Linked DNA regions of Rattus norvegicus. Each later gene encodes a partner of the first gene's protein in a complex. Links are inferred from orthologs where the notes say so. Each region holds a gene or a part of one and is shown on either strand. Other genes may lie near its edges. The genes, in order: Itgb7 and Itgae.

The links.
Region 2: the proteins of Itgb7 (region 1) and Itgae are in contact, whole or in part, in a cryo-EM structure (PDB 8ZJF), measured with the Homo sapiens proteins. The link is inferred for Rattus norvegicus from reciprocal best matches to the Homo sapiens genes ITGB7 and ITGAE. Residues at the interface, in NP_000880.1 of Homo sapiens: Val201, Leu202, Pro203, Ser206, Thr207, Val208, Pro209, Ser210, Lys211, Arg213, His214, Cys216, Pro217, Arg219, Leu220, Glu221, Arg222, Leu255, Asp256, Ser257, Pro258, Thr291, Phe292, His293, Thr294, Ala295, Gly296, Asp297, Lys299, Leu300; in NP_002199.3 of Homo sapiens: Phe36, Leu38, Arg91, His92, Arg93, Gly94, Leu111, Arg113, Leu118, Ser119, Ser120, Leu122, Glu196, Glu198, Arg230, Tyr233, Glu234, Phe237, Glu238, Cys239, Asn240, Ser259, Gln260, Val262, Met263, Leu266, Arg300, Leu401, Gln403, Phe406.

What each region holds. Positions count from the first base shown.
Region 1 is NC_086025.1:135,229,045-135,232,853, forward strand, and holds part of Itgb7 (integrin beta-7 precursor), read right to left. Parts: coding exon 3,745-3,809; intron 1,172-3,744; coding exon 1,022-1,171; intron 658-1,021; coding exon 464-657; intron 1-463. UniProt on the Homo sapiens protein: Integrin ITGA4/ITGB7 (alpha-4/beta-7) (Peyer patches-specific homing receptor LPAM-1) is an adhesion molecule that mediates lymphocyte migration and homing to gut-associated lymphoid tissue (GALT).
Region 2 is NC_086028.1:58,202,016-58,206,291, reverse strand, and holds the start of Itgae (integrin alpha-E precursor), read right to left. Parts: upstream 2,925-4,276; 5' UTR 2,877-2,924; coding exon 2,840-2,876; intron 1-2,839. UniProt on the Homo sapiens protein: Integrin alpha-E/beta-7 is a receptor for E-cadherin. It mediates adhesion of intra-epithelial T-lymphocytes to epithelial cell monolayers.

The DNA.
Region 1 (3,809 bases):
CATGGTGGCCCACAACCATCTGTAATGGGATCTGATGCCCTCTTCTGGTGTGTCTGAAGACAGTGACAGTGTAAAATAAATAAATAATCTTTTTTTTTTTAAATAATCTTTTTTTAAAAAGGGGAGGATACGGGGTTGGGGATTTAGCTCAGTGGTAGAGCGCTTGCCTAGCAACCGCAAGGCCCTGGGTTCGGTCCCCCGCTCCGAAAAAAAGAAAAAAAAAAGGGGGGGGAGGATACAGAGCAGCTGAAACAAACTGATATAGAAGTGTACCAAGGGTCAAGGGGGCAGGGGACTCAGGTCAAAGTGAAAGTGAAAGCCTTAGCATCTATGGGAAGCTTCAGGGTATGACATTCAGGTAGAGTCCTGGGATATCTAGGTGACTCCAGGTGAACAGAAAGCAAAGGAGAAATAAAGGTGATAGCCACTTGCTGGGAGCTAAAGGAGTCTATAAAACCCTCACCTGCATATCCCGCATTGAAGGTCCCCCTGTCCATCGCTGCAGTAAGGAGCGCGAGGCTGGGCATCACTACAATTGCAGTCACACAGTGTGTGCAGCTCCACAGTTAACTCCTCTGAGAAGCCAAGGGCCCAGAGCCGTAGGACATGGGCTTCTGGGAGGCAGTGAGAGGCTTGAAGAGTGACCCAGAAATCCACCTGAAGACAGGAAGACCAGACAAAGCTGTGCACACACACGCCCTCATGTACATACACACTCCTGTACACACACCACCTCTGGTACACACACACACACACACATCCTCACACACTGAAGACAGGAGGACCAGACAAAGCTATACACACCCACATGTACACACACACACACACACAGACACACACACACACAGAGTCCACCAACCACACAGAATCCTGGCCCTTAGCAAACTAAGAACAAGTGAAAGTGCACCCCTCCTCAATGGCGATCCCATGGGTTCTTCTGCTTGTTTCCCACTTCCACGCCCACTTCTCCTCCGTGGAGGTAAGTGGGAAATCATATCTATTGCAGCTGGCTGGCTCTTACCATCTGGTTGACTCGGACATGATTGCACTGTCCCCGACGGTCCCCAGCCTCACCCTCACTCTTCTCAGGACTCCTACAGTGAGACTCGAAAGAGATGCTGACTCCAGGTGGGAGCGAAGAGTGTTCAAGAGTCACGGTGGATGACAGGTTCTGTGGAAAGAGAGCGAGGATGTCATCGTGTGAAAGCAAGCCCCTCCCCCGACGCACCCCGCTTCGTGCCCTCATAGTCACACCTGGTCCCTTCTGCACAGTTAGAAGTCATTTCTGAAAGAAGAACCATCTTGGAACACCTAAGGGCTAGACCTACCCGGGCCATGGTGTGACAGCCCATGCGGTCAGTGTGTTTGTCAATCAAACCCAAACCAGAACACACAGCCATGGTGGGTAAGATCCACCGGGCAGACACGGTTTCGGTGTGGTTACTCTGCAAAGGCTAGCACTGTCTCAAGACTTCCTGCCACGGTCAAGAGATTGGCTTTGGGTATGCCGGGCAAGCAACCACTTAGTTCTGTATCTCCACTCGTTTCACTGAGGTCAAGGACACATTGTTCTTGCTTATTATGTCAGGGTCTCCAGTAGCCCAAGAAGGCCTTGGAAATTCCTTCTGTCTCTGCCTCCCAGGTGTGAAGTGACAGGCATGTGACACCTCATCCAGATAATAATATGGTCCTTGGGGGTTGGGGATTTAGCTCAGTGGTAGAGTGCTTGCCTAGGAAGCGCAAGGCCCTGGGTTCGGTCCCCAGCTCCGAAAATAATAATAATAATAATAATAATAATAATAATAATAATAATAATATGGACCTTGATATTAAATGTAGTACAGCCAGGCAAGGTGCTAGGCACCTTGACTCCCCGAATGGGGGAGAGGGGACCCTGTGAGTTCAAGGCCAGCCTGGTTTACACAACGAGTTCCAGGACAGCCAGGGCTACATAGAGAGACCCTGTAATTAAAAAGATAAAAAAAGGGGGCTAGAGAGATGACTCAGTGGTTAAGAGCACTGACTGCTCTCCTAGAGGTCCTGAGTTCAAATCCCAGCAACCACATGGTGGCTCACAACCATCTGTAGAGAGATCTGATGCCCTCTTCTGGTGTGTCTGAAGACAGCAACAGTGTACTTATACATAATGAATAAATAAGTCTTTAAATAAAATAAATGAAAAGTAAAAAGAGATCTGCAGTCTAGAGCAGAAATGAGCCTCCTGCTCAAGAGGCATTCAAGCTCTATAAAATTCTGTCCCTGATTTGTTACAAATGTAATGTGAGCGCTGAGTCCCCCATTCTTTTTTTTTTTTTCTTTTTTTCGGAGCTGGGGACCGAACCCAGGGCCTTGCGCTTGCTAGGCAAGTGCTCTACCGCTGAGCTAAATCCCCAACCCCAAGTCCCCCATTCTTTATGCTTAGCTTCCTGTCTCTATTTCCTCAGTAAAATGGGGGTGATAATAGTTATGAAGCAGGTGGGGTGCAGGACCCGGTGACACAGGATGGTAATCTGAGGTCCAAGCAAGAGTATGGGTAGATCAATCAGATCAATGCTACATACACGACGCCTCCAAATAAAAAGCGAGGCTCTGACCAGCGAGGCTCTGACCAGCGAGGCACCTCAGCAAGTAAACACACTTGCCAGGTCAGCCCAGAGCCCGAATTAGTTAGATCCCCAGAACCCTTAACATAACGGTCCAAAGGGAGCACTGACTCCACAAACTTGACTCTGGACTTATATATGCACTGTGGTACTCATGTACGCCTACCTCACGTGCACATACGCACACAATCACACAAACACAAAATAATAGATTACAAATTACAAGAATTTTTTCAGCCGAGTGGTAAGGGCACACACACCTTTGAGCCCAGTGCTCAGGAGGCAGAGGCTGGCAGATCGCTGAGTTCAAGGCCAGCCTGGGCTACACAGTGAGTTCCGGGACAGCCTGGGCTACATGGAAAAACCCTGTCTCAAAAAAACCCAACCAAACAACACAACAACAACAAAAAACCTACATGTTTGCACATGCGTGTACATACATATACACTCGTCTATATACATGTAATACTAAATGGAGTCATGGATACTCAAAAAAGAAAAAGATCATGTGAAGTCAAGAGGGGGAAATGGTAGATGTCTAGTGGTGAACTGTAGAGGAGAGAACAGGGTGGTAGATTTGGTCCAAACACATTATATGTATGTATAAATATTACATTTTTAAATGTTTAAGTTATTTTATGTATATGGATGTTTTGTCTGCATGTGTGTTTTTATCCTTTTTTTAAAAAAAGATTTTATTTTAGGTATACTGTAGCTGTCTTCAGACACACCAGAAGAGGGCATCAGATCCCATCACAGAGGGTTGTGAGCCACCATGTGGTCACTGGGAATTGAACTCAGGACCTCTGGAAGGGCAGTCAGTGCTCTTAACCGCTGAGCCTTCTCTCCAGCGCTCCTTACATATTTTTTACACTAATAAAAAGTGATAGACTTGTGGCTCAGCAAGGAATGTAGTTCGGCGGCAGAGTGATAGCCTAACACAACAAAACCTTAGGTTCAATCTTCCATATGCAAAAAAAACAAAAAACAAAAAACGAACAGCTAAGGTCAGCCATGTGCAAACTATAGGTAGGAGCTGCGAAAGTGCAGAACCCAAAGTTCTCTCATACCCTCTTAGCTATGCCCGGAGGACCCTTCTCCCTCTCCCCTGCCCTGCCCCCACCCCCTACTCTCCACTCACGTCGTAAGCATCCATGATGAGCTGCACCACATTGCTGGAGTCTTCGCTGAGCTCCCCGACAGCAG
Region 2 (4,276 bases), on another chromosome or scaffold:
TACGCACCGCTCACCTCCCATACACTCCCTATGTGTACCACACATACTTCATACACACGAGCCAGTTTTCCAGAGGTCAGAGATGTGAGGCTCCACCTCACATCTTGTGTCCTTTCTACCTGAGTGTGGTTCCACTGGGTCCTATAGCTCTTTCCATGAACCTCCCCTGGGCTAGGAAGGTGAATGTGTGTACAGCCTGCTTTCTCATCATGCTGGGGCCCAGCATCTCCTAATCTAGGGCGGGGAGGACACCATCAGAGTAAGCAGCTTTCTGCTCCGATGTCTTTGCTTCCCCATCGTCTTCACAGACCCAGGCCTTGCTGCTTCTGAAAGCCCCTCTTCCTAGTCTGCCTATTTGCTGAGACACCACCATTCTCCTAGGCTTATCTCAGGTACCTGGATCCCTGTTTCTGAGGACCAAGCTTTTCTCTCAAATCTACACATAGCTGTAGGTTAGACCTAGGCAGAGCCGGGCCAGCCACCTCCTAACTTCCCCAGTGGTTCCCACTGGGGAGCTGGGGTTGGTGTCCTGAGCACAGCAGGTCCTGGACTCTGGTTCTTTCCTCTTTCAGTCATGAGGTTTCACAGATCCATAGCAAAGTTCCCTTCTCACAAGAGAAGTAAACTCTACCTCTGAGACACAGGAGGAAGTGAGTTACTGTGGCCTCAGAATGAGTCAGTGCAGAATGAACTCAGGGGCAGAGCATATGGCATTGGGGTATACTGGGGATAGGGGCTGGGGGCCGGGGCCTAGGCTGCTCTAGACTTCAATGTGTATGCATCTGCATTTTCTGCAAACCTTCCTTAGACAACCTTTAGTCCATTTGCCCCCATGAGTGACAGGAAAAGATCATTACCACAATGGGTGGCTTGGAAGGGCAGAAGGGCAGAGCCATCTGGTCAGGAACAGTTGTGGATTGGCCCCAACCCAGAGAAGCCAGCAAGGCACAGGAGTAAAGAGCCTGGGCCCGTGCTCAGAGTGTATTCATCCTCATTCTCCTTCGTAGCATCTTGCCTGCTTCCAATTCCCAAAGCCCTCAGGACTCAGCCTCAGTCTTGAGGCCTGGTGTAGCATCAACCCCAGGCATCACAGTGTAGAGCGGTGCTATCTCATTTTGCCCATCACATACCAAGGCCAAGCTCCCACTGCATCCCACAGCATAGCTAACCCCGCAGCAGGGCCTCAGTGCAAACCTGCCTGTCTCGCTTTTGTTTGTTTGTTTGTTTGTTTGTTTGTTTTTTCAAGAAAGGATTTCTTTGTATCTCTGGGTAGCCCTGGCTATCTTGGAACTCACTCTACAGATCAAGTTGTCTTGGAATTCAGAGACCCGCCTGCCTCTGCCTTCCGAGTGCTGGGGCTAAAGACGCACGACGTCACCACTGCTTGGCTCCATCCTGTTCTTGTCAACTTGTGTGCCAGAGATTTAGGGGTTTGATGAATGGCAGGTAGTGGGGGAGGTGCCCAAGGTGATGCCATTGCTGAGGTTGCGGGAAACAAAGATGGGCAGGAGCCCAAAGTGCCACTGCTAGGGTCATCTATCCAGGCCATGGAGCATCCTGGAGCTGTGAGGAAGGACAGAGGCCTATCTAGACACGGTTCTGCCCCTACTGCTCCTTGATCCCACCCTTCAGTCTATCCTGGAGTGGACTACTCTAGATTCAGCATCTTCAGCTTTGATGATGGGGCACTAGAGCTCTGATTAAAAAGAAAAAAGGTGAAGCCCCACTTCCCACTCTGCAGGTAACAGAAATAAAAACAAGTCTAGAATGCAACATAGCAAAACATCCGACCAACTTTATCTTCCATGGTGACCATCAAGTGCTTAAAAAACAAAGCTTGTGTGTCCGTGCACACACACGTGTGTGCCGAGGAGGATGGCAGCAGGCAGAAGGCTCTCTTTTACCATGTGGGTCTCTGGAATGGAGTCCAGGTCCTCAGGCTTGGCAGGAAGTGCCTAACCTGCTGAGCCGTCTCTCTGGCTCCACTGGGTCTTTTTAAAACATCAAAACTTTCCCCACCCATGTGTCGGTGATCTGAGCAGGGCTTAGCTTGCCTCCCGAATGCTCTGGCTCATGGCTGGCTCATCCTGCATCCTCCTCCTGGGACGTGGCTCTGCTCCTTCAAACCTTCACTGACTGGCATGAACTGCCTTCCAGAGATACAGCTTCCGGCCCCCAAATTACTGTGTCTGATGCCACCTTATTCTCTTGCCAAGTATGAGGAGAGAGAGAGAGAAAGAGAGAGAGAGAGAGAGAGAGAGAGAGCCAGACAAGACCAGACTACAGCCCTGTCTGAGCGATCCCTGGGGGCTCAGCTGATTACGCTATCTTGTCTCTGGGATCTTATGGTGGTCTCAGGACAGTTTGTCCAAAGGCAGTTCCCACTCAAGGTTAAAGACAGAGTGGGATCCTCTGACAGCAGGGGACAATCAATACCTGTCCCTCCTCCACATCACAGAAGAAGCAGGTTCCCCTCGATATTCAGTCTGTAGATTTACACACACACACACACACACACACACACACACACACACACACATCTCCTGCTAGTCTCCACATTCTCTCCAGTCTTCCTGACTTCAGCAGCTGAAGCTGCTCTGTTAACTAACAAAGGGCCCTCTGGGTGGCACAGCACATCACTAGCTTCCGCACTCTGGGAACTAACTTTGCATAGAACTGAAGCCAGGGGCCATCAGCACCGAAGAGGTCTTCCCTGTAAACCTCCAGATCTGTCTGAGCAAAGGCACTTCCCAAGGGAAGCCCAGCATTTCTCTGACCACTAATCTGGAGCCCAGGCAGACAGAGATGATAGCACTGAAGACAGGAAAGGCTGACTTACTGGCCACGCAGAGAAGGGCATGGAAGAACCACTTCATAGCTGGAGCAGACGCAACCGTGTGAGCTGAGTGGGGCGACACAGAGAACCTCAGAAGGCCCTCAGCTTCCCTTCCTCTGCAGGGGAGGCCAGGAGGCGGGGCAGAAGCATATTCAGATAAGGGACCACAGACCTACAGGTACTCTCAAGCAGACACAGCTACCAGAGCTCATACAAGGCCAGCAGGTGGCTTTCCCCATAGCTGTGGGCTGGGCTCCGGGAGCTTAGACAACTGTCAGGCCAGTTCCGTCACTCACTAGACCCCCCATTTCATGCACGAGTGAGCTAAGATTTGGCTGGTGGGTGTCCTGGGTGTCTTTGGCATACAGAGGAGGTACAGGAGCAAGTCGTCCAGGTAGTTGAATTCCAGGCTGTCTCATCCAGAATGTTCCCCAGCCAGACTCATGGGATCAGCTCCCAGCCATCTTGGGTCCCCTCGAATAGAAAGTGCTCTGACAGGCAAAAAATGCACTCTTACATTTGCTCCTGTACTCAGTGCATAGGTAGGGCCCTGGAAGAGCAGGTGAGCATGAAGAACTGAGGTATTAAAGTCATTGCTTCAATCCAGCTGTGGTTCAAGTGTCTTCAAAATGTGAGGCTGATAACAGCTTCGCAGGGCTCTGAGCTTCCAGCCTAACAGAAGAGGTAGACTTCATGGCCCTTACAGCACGGCTCTGACCCTGCCCAGGTTGTGGGGACTACTACAGGGGCAGCCATATCTAAATCCAACTCCCTCAACCACCAAACATGCCTACGCAGCAGCGAGGGAAGGAGGCCATCCTGCACAGCCCAGCAGAGTTCTGGGCAGCTCAGCCTAGCACAATCCCAGCATTTAGGAGTGTATGGTGGGAAGACCAAGTTCAAGGCCAGCCTGGGTCATGTAGTAAGACCTCTGCGAAGATGGACTGTTCTGGACTCTACTGTCCAACTGGAGCTATCAGCCGTGAGTGACTGACACGTTAAAATGATGCCAGTGCACAGAGGGAACTGAACTCTAGACTGTATGCAATCTTAATTCAGAAAGGCTGGGCATTAACCTCTTATTCTTCCATGGATGTAAGAGAATATTCTGGGGCTGGGGATTTAGCTCAGTGGTAGAGCGCTTACCTAGGAAGCACAAGGCCCTGGGTTCGGTCCCCAGCTCCGAAAAAAAGAACCAAAAAAAAAAAAAAAAAAAAAAAAGAGAATATTCTGAAGTGTTACAGTGTTAGCAAAAGCAGATAACCACATGGCCTTAATGACTACATGAAAATCAATTTTATTTTGTTTTTCACATGGAAAATTTATTTAGTCAAAGTTCTGTGAAGATTCAATGACACTTAAACATTTTCACACTGTTAGCTTTGGTCTGACATTTGACTAGATCTTATATAACTTTTCATAAAGAGATTACAATTCACA